3 linked regions of the Arabidopsis thaliana genome follow. The protein of the gene in region 3 interacts with the protein of the main gene of each other region in a pairwise test. Each region holds a gene or a part of one and is shown on either strand. Other genes may lie near its edges. The genes, in order: AT2G24860, HCF244 and ACD32.1.

Region 1 (7,279 bases), on a different chromosome or scaffold from region 3:
AAAGATTAGTCGATATATTACCAAAAAACGTTAGTTGTTTTACACTTCAAAAAAACTTATATTACATTAAATGTCAAACTTATTATATACATCAAAAGCTAAATGGAGAAAAACAAATATACCTTGTTGAGATGGTCGTAGGTGTAGACGTTTCCACATGGATTGTTGGGGTTGATGATTACCATTGCGACGGTATTCTCATCCGCAGCCGCCTCGAGGCCATCGAGATTGATTTCCCAATCACTCTCGGGGAGAAGATCGTATTTGCGAATCTCGAGGCCGCTATAGACAGCACGAGCATCGTAGTGAGGATATCCCGGCCTTGGAAGTAGAATGTTGGCGGATGGATTTCCGGCAAGAGAATCTATCACGATCTCTATGGCTTGGTTACATCCTCCGGTGATATACACATCCTCGGCCTTCAGCTTCGTCGGAAGTTCTCCGTTTAAATATTCAGCCACCGCCCTGAGATAAAAAACGGCAAATAACTAATTAGACAAAAGTTGATCGGTCCTACGTTATAAAAACAATTTTTAAAAATGTAATTTTGTTTGGTTGGTTGTTTTTTCAAAGATTGGTTATTGTAAAACTTATTTTTAATAGTTTTTCAAAAAGAAAAATGAAATTTTTCAAACAGACCTTCTAGCCTTGAAAACTCCAGGGCTGGGTGCGTAAGAGTTAGCCATGCCGGAGCGTGCAGCTGCGGCAACGGCTTCCTCGGCTTCCGGGCAAGTCCTGAAGTTGGAATGGGCGGAGGGCTCGCCGGGAGTTGGGAACAAAATGGTCTTTCCACTGTTCATGGTGCAGTTTTTAAACATCCCAAAAGCAAGCTTTCTCAACGTCACCGCCGCCGCATCACTCGTTGCACCGTTTCCTTTGAACCGCCAAACATTGGCGTTTGCGTTACAGTTGGTAACTCCGTTGCTCGCCATTGATCTTTCTGTCTTGCGTTTGAGTTCTTCTTTTAGTTGTGAGTACAAGTTTTGTGTTGTTGGTACATCTCATTTTAGTCGAGGCCTTTATAAAGGATTTAAAGTCAAGGGTCGTCGCAAGACTACAAAAAATGAAGACCTTAAAATAAGAATAATAATCAACATTTTCCACATGCTACGATCAATATTTTAATACTTTAAGAACATACGATGAAATTAATGATATTTTAGTCTGATTACAGACTTGCACAAAAAACAAGAAAATATTCGATCTCGTGAAACACTACCTTTTTCCAATTATTTGTTCTTTATAACTTAAATAAAACGTGAATAGACTTAACTAATATTTTTGACCCAAAAAAAAACAAAAACAAAAGACTTGCTGTGGTCTGCGGGCAGTGGCTGGTTCTTATTGACTCAAATGTCACATATTTTTGTTTATTACCCGAATAACTAACCATTATGTATTATTACTGTTTTTTGTTTGCTTTATTTAAGAGATTAAAAGGTATATAACACAATCTATAAAGGTTAAAAACACACAAACTAATCCGAACAGGAACCAAGCAAATTAAAATTATCCAATCAAAACACTCGAAACTAAACATTTAACTATAGCTTAATGTTAAGTATAACGCAATCAAAGAGTCAAATGGTTATGCGTGCGTCGTGAATGACATTGCGCGTATAATACCTCATTTACAATAATTAAAGAGGAGATCATGGAGAAGATCTTTTTTAATTTTCTTTTTGGGCTTCCAAGAACATACATTATGAGAACTAGAAACAATATTATATTTTCTGAAGCCATTAGGTGTATTCAATATTTCGATTATATCAAGCATCTAGAAAATCCTCTTGTTGAGCTCATTATTAAAAAGACGGTTTCCATTTTCCATTTTCAGATATAGCCTATTAGTTAATTCTTACTACCATATGTATGTGACTATATCTGATTACAAAAGTTTATAGAAATTTATGTGTAGGATAAAAAAACTATTAGTGGAACTAAGGGGTGTCAAAAGGGGTTAACCCAAATCAATCCACCAAATTTTCCGTCAAAAACACATTATTTTTCTAAAAATACAGTTTCACAAAAAAGAAGAGATATAGAAAGTTGGATCAGATGAAAAAATGCATCTAATTGTGTAAAATTTAATAAAACTCTTATTTACGATTATGTAGTTTTGAAATTTTCTTCAATACACCGTAAAAAAAATAAAAAAAAATAACCTGCTGGTGCGTTGGTAATTTTTACTCAAAATAATTTAGTTTTTGTGCAGTAAATATGTATCTGGAAAGTTTTGTGACAAGTAAAACTAAAAGGGGCAAAGTAGAGGTATATATAATGGAGGAAACGGCGAACCACTGTGTTCGAGTGCCCTCTTACACTCTAGACATGAACACTTTTGAAGATTTCCTCATCACTTGGGAAATGGAATGCACACTGACACAAGTTCTTCACTTAGCAGCTTTGGTTAAGAATTATCCTGAAATCAAATGCCATTTTCACTTCCCCAAAAGAAAATGATTAAGTAACTAGCTTAGGTTGGATTTGTTAGGCACAAACTGTATCTAAGATGATGATAATCGCAATTCTATTAGAGAAACGCCATATCCAGATTCATCAAGGGTAAGGAAGATGCACATGATTTAACCCTACAACGAGAAAATATCAAAAGAAATACGAAGGTGACCCTGTGCTACTAATGTTCTTCCGTTGAGCTACTCCAATGATCGAAATCGTAAAACTCACGTGTCGATTACAAGAACTCTTGTGTAGGCCTTTGGTTGTACAGACAGAACAAGGGGAAATGAATAAATGAACTTACATATATATACTTAACACATGTATAAAGATATATGCATATCTGATTCATGTTCCACTTGAATCAATATATAAACATTTTTCCTCCATAAGAAATCATCAAAGACCAAAAAGCTTAACTTGCTTTTGTTCATCAGTTATGTTGGCACTGGAGGTTTTTCCAACCACTTGGCACGAAACCCCGTTCCTTTGCAATCGCTACAGCTAGCAGAACCCTAAAACCATTGAAAGAATCGAATTTGTTCATACTTGGGAAGATATATAAACAAGAAGACACAATAATGTGTCTGCACTTTCGTTTTTATTAGATAACAAACCTGTCCAGAGCAGATTACACATGAAGTATTCCTTGAGGGAACCTGGCAAAGCATGTTATCACCAAGGATGAAGAATCCTGTACCCGCACACCATTTGCATTCCACATGACCCTTTGAATTGCACGATGAACATCCAACAGGACTTGGTTGCTGCAGTGAAGAAAAAAACAGACAAAGAAAATCATTGAATCGAAACACAGGTCAACAAGTAACATCTAGAAAATTCACACGAGCTCAATATCAAATTGCAAGTGCTAGAAGAAAGGCTTCAAAGTCTGAACTTTTGATAGATTCTCTAAGAGCAATATTAGAGAAAAAGCAGAGAATCCAACAATTGTACATGCAAAGCTACAAAACTACATTGCGTTGCGAGATAAGCCTGCTTAAGCCTCATCACTCAGGGATCATAGAGAACAGCTACAACCTGATTAAGTAGCTAACATGTTCTCATCATATGCACAAATCAAATGAATTGTGAACAAACATTTTTTGCTAGAAACCAACTAAAAGGTACTTTGCAATTACAGATTTTCGATACAAATCCTTTTGAAACTTGCTGATACTATTCACCTCATAATCTGAAATTTACAACATTTCATCACAGATCCAAGTTCTTAATCTCATACAAAATTGCATATAGCTCTTCACTCGTACATGACTACATCAAGGATCAGTTCTTGTGATTACTCAGATTCAACAAAATTATACACATCAACAACTCTCTGGAGATACGAACCTGTGAGATAATCCAAGCTTGATCCATACGCTTGGCGAAATTTGAAGAACTCTCAGGTGAATCCACCGCCGAAGCCTTGACGGTAGTAGTAGCTGGAAAACGGCGAACGACTGGTACGAAACCTAGCTTCGTTATCCTAGGAGAATTCCATGGATTTAGAATCGATTTCGCTACGAGATGTGAATCGCAACACATGCAAATCGTCATTTTCTCTTCTTCTTCTTCTTCTTCGCCGAGAAGGTTGAAATCGGAGGTTTAAATTTGTCTTTGGCTTATTTTTATTTTATTTTATTTTTCTCGCATACCAAATTGGAAGACAACAGGAGGAGGAGAAAAGTCTAGGAATAACCCAATTGGGTTATTGGACCCTGGGCCCATTAAAGTTGGATCTTTTTGTTTGCTAAAATGATTGATTCAATGATTTAAACCAACTCATTATCTCCTCTACAATTCCTTGGATTCTTCCTACAGTCAAAACAAAATCCAGATTGCTTGTTTGTTTTTGGTTTGCTTATATGATTGAGAAAATAATTTTTTTCTATGTATAAATTTACTAGTTTTAAGATGATAATATAACATTTTTTTTTGTTCTTACATAGATTGTTAAATATTTTTAATTTAACCAATCATACACTTTTATGCATATTAATCGATTTTCCAATATGTTTGCCGCCTTCTTTGTCTAAATAGATTCCATCTTCTCTTGCTCTCCAGTCCCATATACCTCCTTCATCCATAAAACCAGAAAGCTTGAATGCTGTAAATTTCTGATAATGTTTATAGTTAGGTCCTTGTTCCAAATGACACATAAAACGCGTCGTACGCCAAAAATTAATCATAAAATTGATTTCAACATGTTTGCCGATTGGTATTGTTTTTGGACCAAATTTGTCATCTTTGGAATAACATCCAATCCTGAGAAGTTTATTGAATTTGAGTTCGTTGGTGATCCTGATTCCAGAGCCGAATACATGGTCAAGCATGCAAAAACTAAAAACGAATAAAAAAGACTAAACAGTTTTTCATTTTTTTTGGGTAGATATTTAGATTTTTGCTTTGTTATTGGCTTTTGTGTTTCAGATTTTATATATGCACACATTTGTATTACTATTGTTGGCATAGTATGTAAAATGGCATAATATCTTATAATAATCATATTAGATATACATAAATCTATTAATATTGAATTATGAAAAAAATGATAAAATCAAGTAACCAGTTGTAGATAATATTAAACCTTATGTGAAAGATCAAATGATAACTAAGAAATTCAATTGTGCATAAAAAAATCCTCAATAATAAACTGGTTATTCTATAAATCATATCATACTATCTATGTAACCTATTAGTAAATAAAGTATTTGTTTTTAAAAGTAATAGACAATTTGTAAAGTACAATAAACAACTAAGTAGAGAAAGACAAACTAAATTAGGTTTATACATTTTGTTCTTGTAATAACGTTCTTGTGATTACTCAAATTCAACAAACTCAACAACTCTCGAAAGATACGAACCTGTGAGATTATCCAAGCTTGATCCATATGCTTGGTGAAATTTAAAGAACTCTCAGGTGAATCCACCGCCGAAGCCTTGAAAGTAGTAGTAGTCGGAAAACGGCAAACGACCAGTACAAACCCTAGTTTCGTTCTACTCCGCAAATTCCATGGATTCATAATCGATTTTTTTACAAGATGTGAATCGCAACACATGCAAATCGCCATTTCCTTCTTCTTCTTCTTGGCCGAAAAGGTTGAATTCGGATTTTAATCTACTCGGGCCTCTCGGGTTAAAACATTCTCTATTTAGCTCCCATTATAAAAAAAAAAATATGTTTATCTAGTTTTTTTTCTCCAAAAAATAGTAAAAGACAAATAAAACAAGGGGTTTTCACTTATTTACGATCCAACCATTATGTTGTGTTGTGTTTAATTAAGATTTTAATTCACTCTATTGATTGTGTTGTGTTTAATTAGGATTTTATTTAAGGTTTCATTCTATTGATTGTGTTGTATTTAATTAGGATTTTATTTCATATTAGATTTGATGGTTTGATCCTTTTTTCTTTGATTTTGGGTGAAACGGATAGATTTTGGATAAAATTTTGATTACAATTAGGATTTCTTATGATTACAATTCGGATTTGAATTACATTTTGGATTTATAATCGAAATTGTCCTTTAAATAGCCTCTCGTAATAGCCATTGTGACTAGTTTTTATGATTACAATTGGGATTTCAAGAAATTTGAATTTTGTTATTAGAGATGGTTTGTGAAATGTATTAAAACCAAATATTATGAGATTGCTTTTGAATGATAAAAACTAGAAGAAAAGGGGAAGAAGGAAAAGAAGAATGGTAAATTTTCTTGTTTCAAGATGATAAGATAAAATATTTTTTGTTCTTAGGTAGATTGTTAAACATAATTTAACCAATCATACATTTTATGCAAATTAATCGATTTTCCAATATGTTTGCCGCTTTCTTTGTCTAAATAGATTCCATCTTCTCTTGCTCTCTAGTCCTATATGCCTTCCTCAACCATAAAACCGGAAACCTTGTATGCTGTAAATTTCTGATAATGTTTATAGTTAGGTCCTTGTTCCAAATTACACATAAAACGTGTTGTATGCCAAAAATTAATAGTAAAATTGATTTCAACATGTTGTCCTATTGGTATTGTTTTTGGACCGAATATGTCATCTTTGGAATAACATCCAATCCGAAGAAGTTTATTGGATTTGAGTTCGTTCGTGATCTTGAATCCAGAGCTGGATACATGGTCAAACATGCAAAGACTAAACACGAATAGAAAGATTGAAAAGTTTTTCATTTATTTTGGATAGATATTTAGATGTTTTTCTTTGTTATTGGCTTTTGTGTTTCAGATTTTATATATGCACACATTTGTATTACTATTGTTGGCATAGTATCTAAAATGGCACATAATATCTTATAATAATCATATTAGATATACATGAATTTATTAACATTTAATTATTAAGAAAATGGTAAGGTCAAGTAACGAGTTGCAGATAATACTAAAACTTATGTGGAAGATCAAATGATAACTAAAGTAACCAATTGTGCATAAGCAAATCTTCAATAATTACCCTATTAATTTATAAATCATATCATACTATCAATGTAACCTATTAAGTAATAAAGTATTTGTTTTAAAAATCTTACTTTAAAAGTAATACACAAGTTGTCAAATACTATAAACAGCAAAGCATATAAAGACAAATTAAATAAGGTTTGTGCATGTGTTCTTGTAATAACGGGTGTCAAAAATATGAAATGGTAACCAAGTCCCCATCCCATATTGGTCATGATCATGTCTCATCCCTATGGACCTGATCAACCAGCAATAGCGACCAAAATTGTTTGTTTGCATGTTGTTAGTTTGGTGACTAATTATATCAATTGTCACCAACGATTACAATTTTCAATCGATAGAATTATCAGCT
Region 2 (7,279 bases), on a different chromosome or scaffold from region 3:
ACCCATTCCGGAGATTCTAAGTGTTGTGTTAAGCTGCTGATATTCATTTGGTTTCCAGTTTACATATGTACACACGAATTATGTAATGTAAGTTGTGGCCAAAATTAGTAAAACGTTGATGTATTAAACTGAGCCATAGAGAATACATATATAAATTTTCTAAAAAATTAACGCTGGTAAAAAGTTGAGTTCTTCTGCCAATTTAAGAGCAAAGTATCTGCATGATATATTACCTATTGTTAAGATAACGGTTCAATTTAAGGAAGTACTTATTCAAATGTCACGATTTCATATGCAAATCAGTAGAATACAACTCCATTATAGACTGATAAGTTTTTTTTTTTTTTTTTTTTGGGCAAATACTGATAAGTTCTGATCATTTATCTATACTTAACGCAATCGTATATGCCAGTGATAGATAATGTTATGCATTATTAACGCATACAGAAACAAATCTAAAACTAGTATAATCCATACAACTATTTTATTCCTCTGCTGTTTAGTGGTGAATTTGGAATAAAGTACTGGTGAGTAAGATATATTTATGGTTATTAATGCGATGGTCATTAATGCAAGGGGATTGAATTTAGGGTTTATAGGAGGAATAAAGAGAACACAGAAGAAAGGGTTGAAAGAAGGAGAAAATTCGGCACAGAATAATTGGGCGACGACAGGTGACACATTTCACTGGCGTAAAAAGGTTCACTATACACATGCTTTTTTTCACTTAGCTTCATATTTAATTATGTGTGTATATAGTATTAATTATGTGTGTATATAGTATTAATACTTGTATTAATACTATATAGTCTTAGGGAGGGTACAGTAATTTTTTAGTCATGTTATGCATGCAGTACATACAAGTACTTAATTAAGGAAATTTTGGGTTTTTGATACACTGTTCCTTTTTAATCGAAATAAGTTTTTTCTTCTTCTTCTGAGTTGATATATTTATTTGTCTGGTGGTTCAACCAAACCATCATGTGCTATGTATGACTTTGAGGTGTCGTGTGTTTTCGATAGAAACCTTTAATAAGGAAAAAGAGAAAATCCAAGTGTTGTGAATTATAAGGGAAATGTTTCCATTGCTGCGAATGTTTTGGGTGGCTTGTTGTGATCCGCACTGCAAGAAACTCTCCTTCTATATATGACAGTAGTGGATGAGATATTTTGAGGTAACTTTTGATTTTTAATAACAAATTTCTTTAGGTTGATTAGACAAAAGTTCAAGCTTTAGATTTGATAGAGAAACTACAAAGGTGTGACCACTAACCCACTTATATGTTTCTCATAAAATAAATTTGCAAATCTAGCCTCTAGGTATATCAGTATATGAATCTTTAAACTAATTAATGCCGCTATAGATCACATGGCAAAGCCTACATTATAAAATTCCCAGTATTCTTGTGAATATTATACGACATAACTTCAAAAAATAATGGTCAAGGAAAAACAAATAAATTACTAAAATCGATACAATTAGTTAATTACAGTAAAAGAAAAATATTTAACAAAGGGTCCTAAAACCAAAGAGTATATTCTCGTGAAGCCAACGAATAGAAAAGCTTCGTTTTTTCCTGTAAAGGACAAAAAAAGAAAGAAGCAGAGATTTCAACTCGAAAGAATCGCTTTGACTTTCTTCTTGTTCCTCCTTGGAACCAGAGTTCTTCTCATAAGCTTTGCAGACTCTGCTTAATTGTTTTTTTGGAGTGAACGACTTTGCTTTTTGTGTTAAAATTATTTAAACTCTTCTATTTCTAAAACAATAAGTATCGTTTTAATACTTATTATTTGAATATAAAAAATTGGTTTCATGAATTATATAGAATTCAGTTTATAAAATCACAATAATTATGGAAAAGGTTAAATATTTATGCGAAAGCCATGTCAAAAGGAAAAGAGAATATCCAACAGAAAGCAACTGTCCCTCCCAATATCTAAATACCAATTAACAAGAAAGTATATATAGTAAAGAAAAATAAAGACTGGTCTGATCTGATTGTGAAGAGCATTAATTCATTGGATTTTATCTTCTTTCTCTGCCACTAAAGTTTTGTAGTTGGATGGAGATCACTTTGGTCATCATGCCACTTATATATTTCCATGTGTCTATGTTTATTTTTTTTTATTCATTTACTCCTCTATTATTGAGATTATTTTTCCTCCTACGATCGACTTTCAAGTTGAGAAACAAATCAAAATGATCTGAAAAGTTTTAAACAGAACAAACGTGTACCTTTGGCAATTTGGCATTAGTGAAGTGAGATATATCAATAATGCATACCTAGTATTTTTTTTAACTCTATATGGACTTAGTTTATGTAGTCGTGGACTTTTTTTTTGGTATTAATTAGAAAATAATGTGTAAAAAAATGTAACTAATTTTTATTCATAAAACGGATCGATTGTCTTTGGTTAAGCATCGGGGTCGCTGTCTAGGTAGGCCAGAACAATTAGGGGAGAACACAGAATGTGAATGTGGTTTCGAGGTTTCATGTTATTTCTTCTTTCATTACTTTTAATACTAGTACTACATCAATGGAATAAAATCAATGAAAATATAATACGAAAAGACATAGACAAGACAACCTAAATGATAATCAACGACCTAACCCTATGATTAGATTCCACATTTTTTTCTCCTCTTTATAATTCCTTTTCAGGTTTTGATTTTTTAAACATGATCGTACGTACTATCCCTATGTGTTGTTTATCTTAGTATGTGTCTACAAATTAGTTAGATCGAAATAATATTCGGGCAAAGAAAAAAAGATTTTATTTTAAGATACTGATTTAACAACTCAAACAACACCTTTTGCAAACACTTATTACTTCTGATCTTAAAAGTGAATTTGCTGGTCGAGATAAGGAGTTGGATATCCAATGGATCATTGTTTTGAGCATTGTGGATTCTTAAATGGGTAGTAATAGACTCACGACTTACGGATTTTGGTGCAGTTGTTCGATTCTTCAAAAAGTGGTAGCAAATTTCAACCATAGATAATGAATGATCTTGTTCCACTTGTTAGGTTCTAAAGTTACATTGAGACTAACACTTGCATTTATTTCATCTTACTATTCATTTGCCAAAAGCTTTCTCACTTTTATTCACATTAACAAGAACCAATGAATGAGAAGAAGACTTTAAGGTGAAGAAAACACTGTAACAAGAAGCTCACAGCCCTAGCCTCGAACAAAAGTCAAACAGAGATGGTTTTGTAAGGGAATCTCATTATCTTTTTTTACCTGTTGGTTTCTCCTCAAGGTAACAAAGAATCTCTCTGGGCACCTCAAGCTACATTTACATTACAATAATTCTCTTTAATTACAAGAAGAAGCACAATAACCATTGAAGAACAGAGCAACAACGAATCTCACAGTATGGTTGCAAATGCAGTTTATAAATAGTGTTGAATCTTATGAAGACACTACAAGGTCAGAAACTCAGAAGTAGATGTCTGATTGCTTGGATTGTGCCTTTAGATCCTTTAGTTTCTTCAATATGTTGCTGAAGTAATCCTGCAAGTACTTCTCTAGAGTCACCATATCCTTCTGATCCACACCTAGTAGACTATTAGTCTCAGTCATCGGAGCAGAGAAGACCGTGTCACTCGAGAGAACCTAAACGTACCAGTGTCACACATATGTTAGAAGCATGATTTCAGCTGATCTGAAAAGCTACTATGAAACAAACTACAAAAGCATCATTGTTTGGTGATGAAGGCCAAATCTTACCTCTGAGAAGGCCAGTCTATCCGCGACATCATTTGTCCATTGAAAGAACCGAGTTAACTGACGCGTGACTCTCAATACAGAAACTGGAACGGTTGTGACATTTGCATCTTGCCCAGCAAGTCTCTCACATAGTGTTATCACCTGAATTGACAAAAGGGTAGTAAAAGGTTATGCTTTAGTAATATTTCTCTATTCCTTTCATTCAAAAGAGCGGTAACTATAGCCTTGCTTACTTCTTGTGTTGTCCATGCACGAGGGCCAGCGAAAGTCAGAAGTTTTCCATTGATCTTCTCATTACGTAAAGCTATAAGTGTCAGCCTAGCAATATCCTGTTATAGCATGAGGAACATGTTTAGATCATTTTATGTGTTTCATCCACATATTACACAGAGAAATGGAGTACATCTTCATTTGATTACTCACCTGTGTGTCCATGTAAGCAACACGCGTTGGTGCATCTGTTCCCCAAACCGATTTCTCCTCCAGAATTGGAACTGCATATTGACCAATAAGACCCTGCATAGCCATAGGCATAGTATACTCTGGATTAAACAACAATCAGCCATTACCACATTCAACATCATGTACTCACTTTCAGGGACAACTAGACGCATAAGTTCAGGGGAATGAGGCTTACTTGCATGAAACCACATAACCGAATGGTGATGTGGTTTAAACCAGATTCCTGAAGAAACTTCTCAGTGCAGTACTTAATCTCCATGAGAGGAACCTCAGGATGCTTATCGCAATTGTGGATTGAGTAAAAGACGTATTTCTGAATCCCCATTGCCTTTGCACATTGTATCAGAGCAACTTTTCCTTCCCAATCTACCTAAACCGAACACACATAACTTTCAATCACATTGGAAAACTGAATCCAACACTCAAACGTACAAGCCAAGGCATGAAACTGAGTATTAGACACACAAGCCAATCAAACTTTAATAAGTCTCACTAGGCTAAAGATTGAGTCTTTAACAAAAAGATATAATTTAGAAGCTTACCGTCTTGATAGGTTCTTCAGGACGTCCCGTGGCACAATCAATTACAGTGTGAATCCCGACCAAAGTCGCCGGAATTGTCTCCGGTTTACTAAGATCCGCCTAAGACCACACAAAACTCCGGTTTTAGTTCTCTTTTGGACAAATTTAAATACTTTGAGTAACTTTAAAGGAAGATGTGAATACGTACATTGACTACGGTGGCGCCCCAATCACGGAGGAAATCGGCGGGAGCTGGTCTTGGTCGGACCAAACACCTAACATCATACCCTTCATCTAAAGCTCTCCGGACGATTTGTCTTCCCAAAGTTCCAGTGGCTCCAACCACCAAGATGCTCGTGGGTCGGACTGGTGTCCCCGGAGCAAGATTAACCGCTGCAGCACTGCATGTAACCGGAACTACTATTGATCGTTCCCGGTTAAGGGATGAGGATGAGGAAGATGGGAAGAGCGGGATTGTATTTTCCGGTGTGAGAGAACGTCGCCAAGACAGACGCCCGGAGGAGGAGGATGAAGAGTTGTGGTGGATGAGATTGCCACGTGTAACTAGTTGAGCGGGGAGCCTGAGCGAAGCCATCAGTGTCGAAGAGAAGAGAGAGAGACAAGTGAGGGAGAGAGAGATAGAGAGACGACAGTTGATGTGCGTTTGGCCACGTCAGCTGGTGTTTTGACATTGGATTGGCTTGCATTTGCTGCCACGGAATAAATATTATTAAGAAAAAGGAAACTTTATATCGGTTTCTATAATAATACTTACGGGCCGGGCTTGGGCTCAAATTTTCTAATTCTGATCGGGTATAGTTTTAGCTGGATTTTCAAAATATTTGCAATGTTTGTTGAGAAGATATATTATACTAATAAACTATTTTCAGTTATGGGCTGCAATACAAAAGTTTCAAGCCTCATCCAAAACTCTACCAAGAGGCAAGAGGTGTCAAAGTTTAAAAGTCATTTTCGAACTTGCCGGGTACCAAATGTGACATCCCAAATCCGATGAAACAATTTCAAGTGATTTTAAAATTAGTCAATGTTAATTCACAAATTAAATTAAAGACTTGGAGTAAGAGCAACCCCAATGGTTGAGCCCTTAAAAGGGTTTTTTAAAATTTTAAATTATAAAAAATTAAAGTGTTTTTGTTGGACCATTAATTTTTTTTGGTCTAATGTTTAAGTGGGTCTTTTAAAAAAATATATTATTATTAAAATAAAAATTATTTATATTTTATTTTATAAAACTTAATAAATAATACAAATATTAAAATTTTAAACAAATATGATATATATATTAAAAATCATATGGACTAAAAAAGAGAGAAAAACGCGAAAAGAAAAATAAATAAATGATGTTGTCACAATGTTCAACCACACACACAATGACACGTTAGAGTTTCTTAACTACTCAAAAACCTCTTAAAATAAAGTTTTATATTTAAAAACATCCATCAAAAATTAACCAATGTGGATGCTCTTAAGAAACCACCATTCGAGGTGATCAAAGATACCATCAATTTTTCATTCATATTCTTGAAATTACGAATCCATAAAAGTTTGCATATTCCACGAACAAGTGTTTAAGAAACTTTGACATGACAAAAGGCGCCAACAAACGTAGCAACATGAATTATTTGGAACATGTTTTTTTTTCTTATCGAAATATTCCACGGCTAAAGAATATAATAAAACTCGAGGTACAAAACCAGATAACCGTTGTGCTTGGATCATACCCCATATTTTGGCAACACAAAATCTGTATCAGGAATTTGATGATTTATGCAGAGCGGGAACACGTAATTTGTCAAAGTCAGTCTAGTTTTGCAATGACCGCATCAACGACCTCTTGAGTCGTGCTTGTTCCACCAAGATCTTTCGTCCGGCACTTTCCTTCAGCGATGACTTTCTTCACTGCTGTTTCGAGCCGGTCAGCAAATGAAGGAAACTGAAGGTGTCTAAGCATCATCGCTGATGAGAGAAGCAATGCCACTGGGTTTGCTTTGTTTTCCAATACTATCTTGTCTTTCCCAACATTTCCTGCTGATGCACCTTGCTCGAATACCGCATGGTCAGCCCCAACATTTCCTGTTTTTGTATTTAATGTCGCAGATGTATAAATTTTAGAACTATTCTTTATCCACTAATGTATAGCTCGAGAGAATATCAATACAGGATGTTTTTTTACCTCCAGGCATGACTCCTGTGCCTCCAGCAATACCAGCAGCAGTGTTTGCAACTAAATTCCCATAGAGATTCGGCGTTACCTGCAAAACATTTCATAAATTGCTGTTATAAAAGGGGGGAAAAGCCAAAAGACGCTACTACATACAGTAATGAAAGGTTAATACTTAGCAACAGTGAAGTTACTGCTCTAACGAACAATAGTGTATGCAAAGTAGTAAGTATACATAGACAAGGTCACAGAAGTACAATTTAAAAGATTCCCTGAAAGCATGATATGCAAATGACGAGATTAAATAGTATGCAAATGGGGCGATTAACTATAGTATATGGCAACACAACATCAGTCTCATACCAATAAGATAATATGA
Region 3 (7,279 bases):
TCTCAAGCGATTCCCACTCATCGCTTTCGATACAGAGTACCCTGGCATTATTTTCCGCACTTATTTCGATTCCTCTAGCGACGAATGTTACAGAGCCATGAAAGGTAATGTCGAGAACACCAAGCTGATCCAGTGTGGTTTCACTCTTTTCAACGCCAAGGGAGAGATCGGTGGTGTTTGGGAGATTAACTTCTCCAATTTCGGCGACCCATCAGACACACGCAACGAGCTTTCCATCGAATTCTTGAGGAGGCATGGTTTGGATTTGCAGAAGATTAGAGACGAAGGAGTTGATATGTTCGGCTACGGGTTTTTCCCTAAGCTTATGACTGTGTTTCGTTCTCAGAAACACGTTGAGTTCGTCACTTTCCAAGGAGCTTACGATTTCGCTTACTTCTTGAGTATCCTCAATCATGGCAAGCTACCAGAGACTCACGGCGAGTTTGCAACAGAGGTTGTCAAAGTGTTCGGTCAAGTTTACGACACCAAGGTCATGGCTGGATTCTGTGAAGGACTAGGTGAACACCTCGGGTTAAGCAAACTAGCCCAGCTACTTCAGATCACTCGTGTGGGAAGAGCACATCACGCTGGTTCAGACAGCTTAATGACTGCACTTGTCTTCATCAAGCTTAAACATGTCTATGAAGATTCCAGATTTGCTAGAGGATTGATCTATGGAATTGGGAAAAGCAACCTCGTTGCCGCCCCTGCCCCTGCGCCTGTGCCAGAGCCGACTCTTCCTTTGATGTGCCAGCAGAATGTAGCTTCATATCCTGTGTTCCACAATGGATATGTCCAGAACTATGAGCAGCCTCAGCTTGTCTCCTACGATCCTTCAGGTGCCCCATGGGCGTTCTGTAATGCTACCGGTACGTATGTGCAGCTTACTCATCTACCTGCAAGCACTTTTGCATACCCGTCTCAGACGCCATCTGCTACTGTTGATTATCTTGGACCAGTTCCTAATTATTACAACAATAATGCTTGCTACGTAGTTGAGTAGATTGAGATTTCCCCAGCTTTAGGATGATTAGATGCTTCTGAGCTTTTTTCTTTTTTTTTTCTTTTTCTTTTCTGGCTTTTGGTAGTAGTAATGAAGATTTTATTTTTATATATTTATGGATTGTTTACATGGCTTCACTTTGAGTAATGCCTGTCTACAATCTGTGATATATAAAAGACCAAACTATTTTACATAAAAGACCAAACTTTCTTCATGATTTGATATTTTTCTTTTCCACACAAACTGCTATATCACACACAATGTTTACCGTATCTATATATGGTTTCAGAACGATGAACCCTCAAAGCTTTGGAATTACTATTCTCAGAATCCCATCCCTGTTTCAAACGCAATAATAAATTGGATGTTAGTGCTCTTTATAAAACTTGCTAAATTCTATCTAAACTAATTCAAGCTAATGACTGACTGGCACTAAGATGTAAAATTGGATTCTAAAACGACTACTTTTTAGGTGTGCACTACTAGCTAAAACCTACAGGCAGAATCTATCATATGAACTCTAGGATTGAAAGATTTAAGGAGAATAGTTGTTTGATCATACGGTTAGATTGTTAGTAAGTATAGCTTCTACTTACATAAATTCAGCGGAAACATTATCCTTGTTCACATTGCTGGGGAGTGGCCAGGAAACTTTGAATGGTCCTTGTAGTATTTCTTGCTTATGATATCCAAGGATCGAAGCTTTGGTGCCTGCATCAACTTTTTGACAGATAGATGTGCGTCTACCTGTCACAGTCAAGCTGCAGCAGAACGGTAAGTACCTTTGTTACACAATGCATTTTTACTGTGTGAGTAATGGGAACAGATTGAAAAAAGATGTGTATCAGCAGGATTACTTTGTGTTGTCAACCTCCACTCTTATATCATTGATACTGGCTCCTGGTAGCTCTATTGCCACAACATAGCTGTGTGTCGATTCAGCAACATTCGATCTGGGAGACCAAACAGTACCTGCAAAAGGAAAAAAACTTCTTTAAGTAAGTTCTCATGTTCATTTGTACGGATTTGTTTGAAGTACGGATGCTAGTTTCTGTAGATCAAGGCTGGTGAGAAACCACCTTTAGTAGTTATACCTAGTAATATTTGTGTGTTTGTAAACTACAGAAATCATTAAGTTCTCTAAGAAAAGTATCAGGTTATAATAGGACTAGAAAAGTAGTGTTATTGGAGTGGAATACACCTATATTTGTATTCGTACCTAAATTGGCTAACTTAGGAAGATCAAGCTTAGGCCTTTCCTTTTGCAGATTTGGTGATAAAGAAGGAAAAAAGATGTCCTCTTTTGCAGGCTTAGAAAAGTGTGGTGCAGCGTACGCAGGTGAAGAAGAATCGAAGCCAGTTGTTTTGGTAGCAGAAAACTTGGTAGATGCAGCAGCATCATGTGGTATGGTCCTCTGCAAAAAACATTTTGAATCAATTCTCTTTTACAGAAGTATAGATGAGAAGAGAAACTTTGAAAAATAATAATAAGAAATTAATGGTACCTCATTAGTCGAAGCCTGTCTCATAAAAAAACCTTGTGCAGAAGATGCTTGCCGAGCAAAATACAGCCTGTTGTCACCCCTTCTAACGACAGTGTTCTTCAAATTCATACCTAAGTTCTGAATCATCATCACAAGTGACAGAAGAGGTTAATGGTGTGGGCATATTTACATTACAGTACAGATATGACTTTGTTAACTAAGTGTAGTTAGACAGTAAGTGACCAGAGAAGAAGGAGGAGGGACTTCAAAACATAATAAAAAACTTATGGTACCTCAAGGACATCATCGGGTGAAGCTGGCCTCATAAAAAAGCCCTGTTCAGATGATGCTTGCCGGGCAAAAGAGATTTTGTTGTCACACCTTTGGATGACAGTGTTCAAACTGCTGCTGCAGTTCTGAGGCATAACACAAATAAGAGATCCATTAGACCAAAATAAAGGAATCAGTGAACCAACCTATTTGAGGCAGAGTCAAGTATAAAAAAACACATCCATAAGCATGATATGACTTTCAATAATTGAACAGTTTGAGCTTTCCATTGCAACACCCTTAAACGAAATCAAGGTTTAAGCCAAAATGAATCAGACTAACTGTTCTTGTACTTGGTCGATCTGCTCCAATTTTGCAAGTAAATCCACATCGAGATTCGAGATCGGTCAAGGGATCAGAAAAACTATCTAACCAAGTTAAGAAACCATAGGAGAACGAAATACAGAAAGTCTAATTCGAAAACCGTCGGATCCTTGGGGTCTAGGCTTGCAGATAAGGAAACGAGAGACAAAAAGAGAAGGGGAATACCAAGGGGACGAGAGATGCGGTGGAGGCGGAATCGTAACTGGTTGCCGGGAAGTGAGCGGCGAAGGCAGCGAGCCTGCGTCGAGCGGTGATAGATTCATGCTCCATCTCTGATTGATTCGATCGGTGAAGAAATAGAGAAAAGGACGAGCGAGTGATTGCAGTGACACAGGAGGAAGTAGGATCGATGAAACAAATGAGTGGCTTTAACTTCGCGCGCTGGATTCGAAAATATCTGCTTGAAGATTAAAAGATATTTTCTTCCGGAAACGGACAAGAAATGACAACGACTCGTTTTTATTGGAAAACATTTTTCTTTTTTGGTTCAATATTTTTTTTGTCAAAACGCGAACTCCATTAAAAATGAAAATTATTAATTCTTGTGAAAACAAATATAATCTGTGTAAAGGTAAATGCAAGTTGCATTGCAGACTCCGAGCGGTAATGATTTCGTAAAAATTCACCAAACTCCAACAACCTGCGGTTGCGACTCCAAAATCAATCTATCTTCAAACACACACACAAAGTTCCTGCAGCTTCGATCAGATCCAACGAGCCGATTCTTCTCTCTTTGTAGGTCTCTTTCTTCCATTCTGGCGAAATTTTGATTTTCCCTATCTGTATTATGCTGATTTCATAGTCCGCGTTCGTTAGCTTTGAATCTATGAATTTTGAGCTCACTCCCGATCCAGATTGATTGCGAGGAGTTCTCTTTTCGTTGTTGCGTTACTTTTTTTGAGCTCAGAATCATTGAGCTTTTCCTGATTTGGATTACATCTGATTTCGTGAAACTCAGATTCATTCGAATAGATTTCCTTCTTTTTACGTGTTTGCTTTTTCTAGGTTCCAATAGTGACGTATTAATCTCTTCTTGAAGCGGCCCTGTTAAAGAATGGTTTATGTATTCAATTTCTTCTGTCGGTGAACTCTTTTGGTTCTTATCAGATTAAATGTAGCTTCCTTTCATTCGGTTTGAATCTTTGCATCGGCGTATTAGAGAAGCTTGCCTTTATTGAAATGTGGCTCTTGTGTGATTGTTTGCTTTGCTTTCCACTTTCTCCAGAGGAATTTCTCACAGAAATACTTGACTTACTTGAGCTTGTGTTTGTGATTCTAGGTCAAGTAGTTCCAGAGAACTGCATTGCATATTCACCAACATCTTAGGTTCCTAATTCAATTAGCCCACTGGGATATGCCAGAGAGAATTGGACACTGTACCATTTGAACATATGCGTATGGGTCAAATATAAAACTTTCTTCCTTGAAATTCCGAGGCAAGAGAGCTGTCCATTACAGGGGTACTCGTGTTTTTTTAAATACCTGTTGAGTAAAGAAAGGCTGGATTACTAGATTGCATGCTTTGTCACAGTTGTCTGTGAATGGAAGCCGAAAAGGTTTGCTGGTGAGTTCAGATTATTGATGGAGCAAAGAGTGCAGCTCCGTGTTGGTACAATGGAAACCATATCCAATGAGGGAGATGTAGATAGAGAACAGGTTTTAGAGACTTTTGGTATTGAAAATGAGACCGGGAAGGAGACAAACGGCTCCAGAAGTTTTGATGTTGGTTACAGTTCCGGTGATACCCTTGAAACATTGCCTAAAGCGTCAAAAGTAGATATCTCTCCTGCTGACGTGCTTAAAACACTCTTCTTTATACTTGTATGGTACACTTTCAGCACATTTCTGACTCTGTAAGTATGTCTTTGCGACTAACATTTTCTTTTTCTTCTTTTAATTCCATACAACTAGCATTTAATTTACTTGCTTATTTTCTAGGTACAACAAAACTCTCTTAGGAGATGATTTAGGGAAATTTCCTGCTCCCTTATTAATGAATACCATTCACTTTTCTATTCAAGCTGTTTTATCAAAGATGATAACATGGTATTGGTCGGGGAGATTTCAGCCTGATGTTACCATATCATGGAGAGACTATTTCGTTAGAGGTAAACTAACAAAACCAGGGCATTCCTTTAGCCATTACTTTCTACTTTATTCTCACTACATAGTACTGAGAACTTTCTGCAATTTATGCAATGCAATTATCATCTACAGTATTTAGTGAGGACGAGAGGGGAAGATTTAGTGTGTTTTTTCTGTTTCAGTTTTTCGAAAGTTGAATATATTATATTTCCATAAACTGATTACCCACATGGCCTGTCCTTTCGCAGTTGTACCAACAGCGCTTGGAACTGCTATGGATATAAACCTAAGTAACGAGTCACTTGTCTTCATATCGGTTACATTTGCAACAATGGTTAGTTATTTTATATACTATGGTAGGTCTATGCAACTTCTTTGGAATTTGCGGGTGAAACAAGGTGAGACTTGTCTAATGATATGCATGTGTTTTTTCCACTTGCAGTGCAAATCTGCAGCCCCAATATTTCTTCTTCTGTTTGCTTTTGCCTTCAGGTGCTTTATACATAACGATTAATTGTTTATTTTATCCTGATTTGTGCTTTACAATTTTTTGTACTCCATGTGTTATCCTGACACAATATTTCGCTGGTTAGGCTGGAGTCTCCAAGCCTGAAACTTTTTGGCATTATTTCAGTGATCTCAGCAGGAGTGTTGTTAACAGGTATGTTTTTCTTTGTCATTTATATTGCTTTGTACTCCGTTGTTCCTGGACCTGTTTGCTACAAAATCTATCTAGAAGTTTTTAGTTGAATTTTTTTTCCTAAATCAAAGCCATTAAACTTGTTATTTTCTCACCATCAGTTGCAAAGGAGACAGAATTTGAGTTTTGGGGTTTCGTTTTTGTCATGCTTGCTGCTGTCATGTCTGGTTTCCGCTGGTGTATGACGCAAGTTCTTTTGCAGGTATATTCTTTAACTCAGTTTTTAATTTCTGTTAAACCATACATTGGATCTTTATATATTAACTCTTTACCTTTACTTTTTGTGGTTTTTGTCTTCCGATGTTTTGCTCCATTCTGACGACAACATGATGTGTAGAAAGAAACATTTGGTGGGTTCTGCTCTTGGTGTTTTCAAATCTATAATTGTCTTTCTTAGTTTCTTATAAGTCACAAGACCTAGAAATAAATTTATACTTGTTTTTGTTTTGTTTATCTAGGACTGAAAAATCCATTCATATTCATGAGCTGTGTGGCACCAGTGATGGCTATAGCGACTGGTCTTCTTTCTCTCCTTCTGGATCCATGGAGTGAATTTAGAGACAACAAATACTTTGATAGTGGAGCACATTTTGCTCGAACTTGTTTTTTGATGCTTTTTGGCGGAGCACTGGCTTTTTGTATGGTGAGCATTTACTAAACAATTTACAAACCTTATGTAAGAGTGAACTTGTTTTGATAGGTGGAGGTTGAAGCATCTTATGAAACTCTAGTTTCGTATGTGATCAGTCTTCCATGCTCACTATTTAATATTTTCTTTCAGGTTTTGACAGAGTATGTCCTTGTTTCCGTAACTAGTGCTGTAACCGTCACAATAGCGGGAGTTGTCAAAGAGGCTGTCACCATAGTGGTATGTCCTATATTCATAAACTTTTTGGAATATCTAACTGATGAGGTCTAGCTTGTAAGTTCTACTTTCCTCGTATTCTTAAGCTAGAAAGTCTGAACTATATTTGATTGAAACCTTGCGGTGATGTTCTAGACAAGGGACTGATATCTTAAGATGGTGAGATTATATTGGTCATATGCCATATAAATAGACACACCTGTTTGGAGTTTGCTTTCTAGAATGGATTATGAGTTCATGTCTGGCCTCTTAATAGACATACTCGATAAAACAGAACTAGTGTCTTTAGAACTGGCTTCTCATTCACTATAGAATTTGCTTAAACTACATGTCCCTGCCTCCAGAAGAATTTTGTATCAGTGCTGCTGCTGATATATTTGGGGATGTAAAATCTTCATTGTGTTGTTCTTTGACTCTGTGCAAAACAGGTTGCAGTGTTTTACTTCCATGACGAATTTACGTGGCTGAAAGGTGTGGGTCTGATGATC

Evidence for each region.
Region 1: the proteins of ACD32.1 (region 3) and AT2G24860 interact in a two-hybrid assay, tested with the Arabidopsis thaliana proteins (one large-scale study listed by BioGRID).
Region 2: the proteins of ACD32.1 (region 3) and HCF244 interact in a two-hybrid assay, tested with the Arabidopsis thaliana proteins (one large-scale study listed by BioGRID).

The regions. Positions count from the first base shown.
Region 1 is NC_003071.7:10,584,221-10,591,499, forward strand, and holds AT2G24860 (DnaJ/Hsp40 cysteine-rich domain superfamily protein), read right to left. Parts: upstream 4,197-7,279; 5' UTR 4,021-4,196; coding exon 3,814-4,020; intron 3,228-3,813; coding exon 3,078-3,227; intron 2,976-3,077; coding exon 2,898-2,975; 3' UTR 2,423-2,897; downstream 1-2,422. Other genes in the region: TAT3 (tyrosine aminotransferase 3), read right to left, coding at 123-465, 640-932; AT2G24870 (Plant self-incompatibility protein S1 family), read right to left, coding at 4,440-4,580, 5,328-5,354; AT2G24880 (Plant self-incompatibility protein S1 family), read right to left, coding at 6,334-6,642.
Region 2 is NC_003075.7:16,767,957-16,775,235, forward strand, and holds HCF244 (NAD(P)-binding Rossmann-fold superfamily protein), read right to left. Parts: upstream 5,501-7,279; 5' UTR 5,314-5,500; coding exon 4,927-5,313; intron 4,839-4,926; coding exon 4,740-4,838; intron 4,568-4,739; coding exon 4,373-4,567; intron 4,252-4,372; coding exon 4,159-4,251; intron 4,065-4,158; coding exon 3,969-4,064; intron 3,877-3,968; coding exon 3,736-3,876; intron 3,622-3,735; coding exon 3,445-3,621; 3' UTR 3,117-3,444; downstream 1-3,116. Other genes in the region: IDH1 (isocitrate dehydrogenase 1), read right to left, coding at 6,538-6,812, 6,913-6,991. UniProt on the Arabidopsis thaliana protein: Auxiliary factor required, together with HCF173, for the biogenesis of photosystem II (PSII), especially for the synthesis of the reaction center proteins (e.g.
Region 3 is NC_003070.9:1,966,004-1,973,282, forward strand, and holds ACD32.1 (alpha-crystallin domain 32.1), read right to left. Parts: upstream 3,654-7,279; 5' UTR 3,412-3,653; coding exon 3,307-3,411; exon of another isoform or gene 2,904-3,306; coding exon 2,781-2,903; intron 2,626-2,780; coding exon 2,509-2,625; intron 2,419-2,508; coding exon 2,223-2,418; intron 1,976-2,222; coding exon 1,861-1,975; intron 1,765-1,860; coding exon 1,600-1,764; intron 1,342-1,599; coding exon 1,305-1,341; 3' UTR 1,084-1,304; downstream 1-1,083. Other genes in the region: AT1G06450 (Polynucleotidyl transferase, ribonuclease H-like superfamily protein), read left to right, coding at 1-1,003; AT1G06470 (Nucleotide/sugar transporter family protein), read left to right, coding at 4,723-4,994, 5,080-5,249, 5,475-5,560, 5,669-5,718, 5,820-5,887, 6,028-6,128, 6,264-6,276, 6,385-6,569 and 2 more.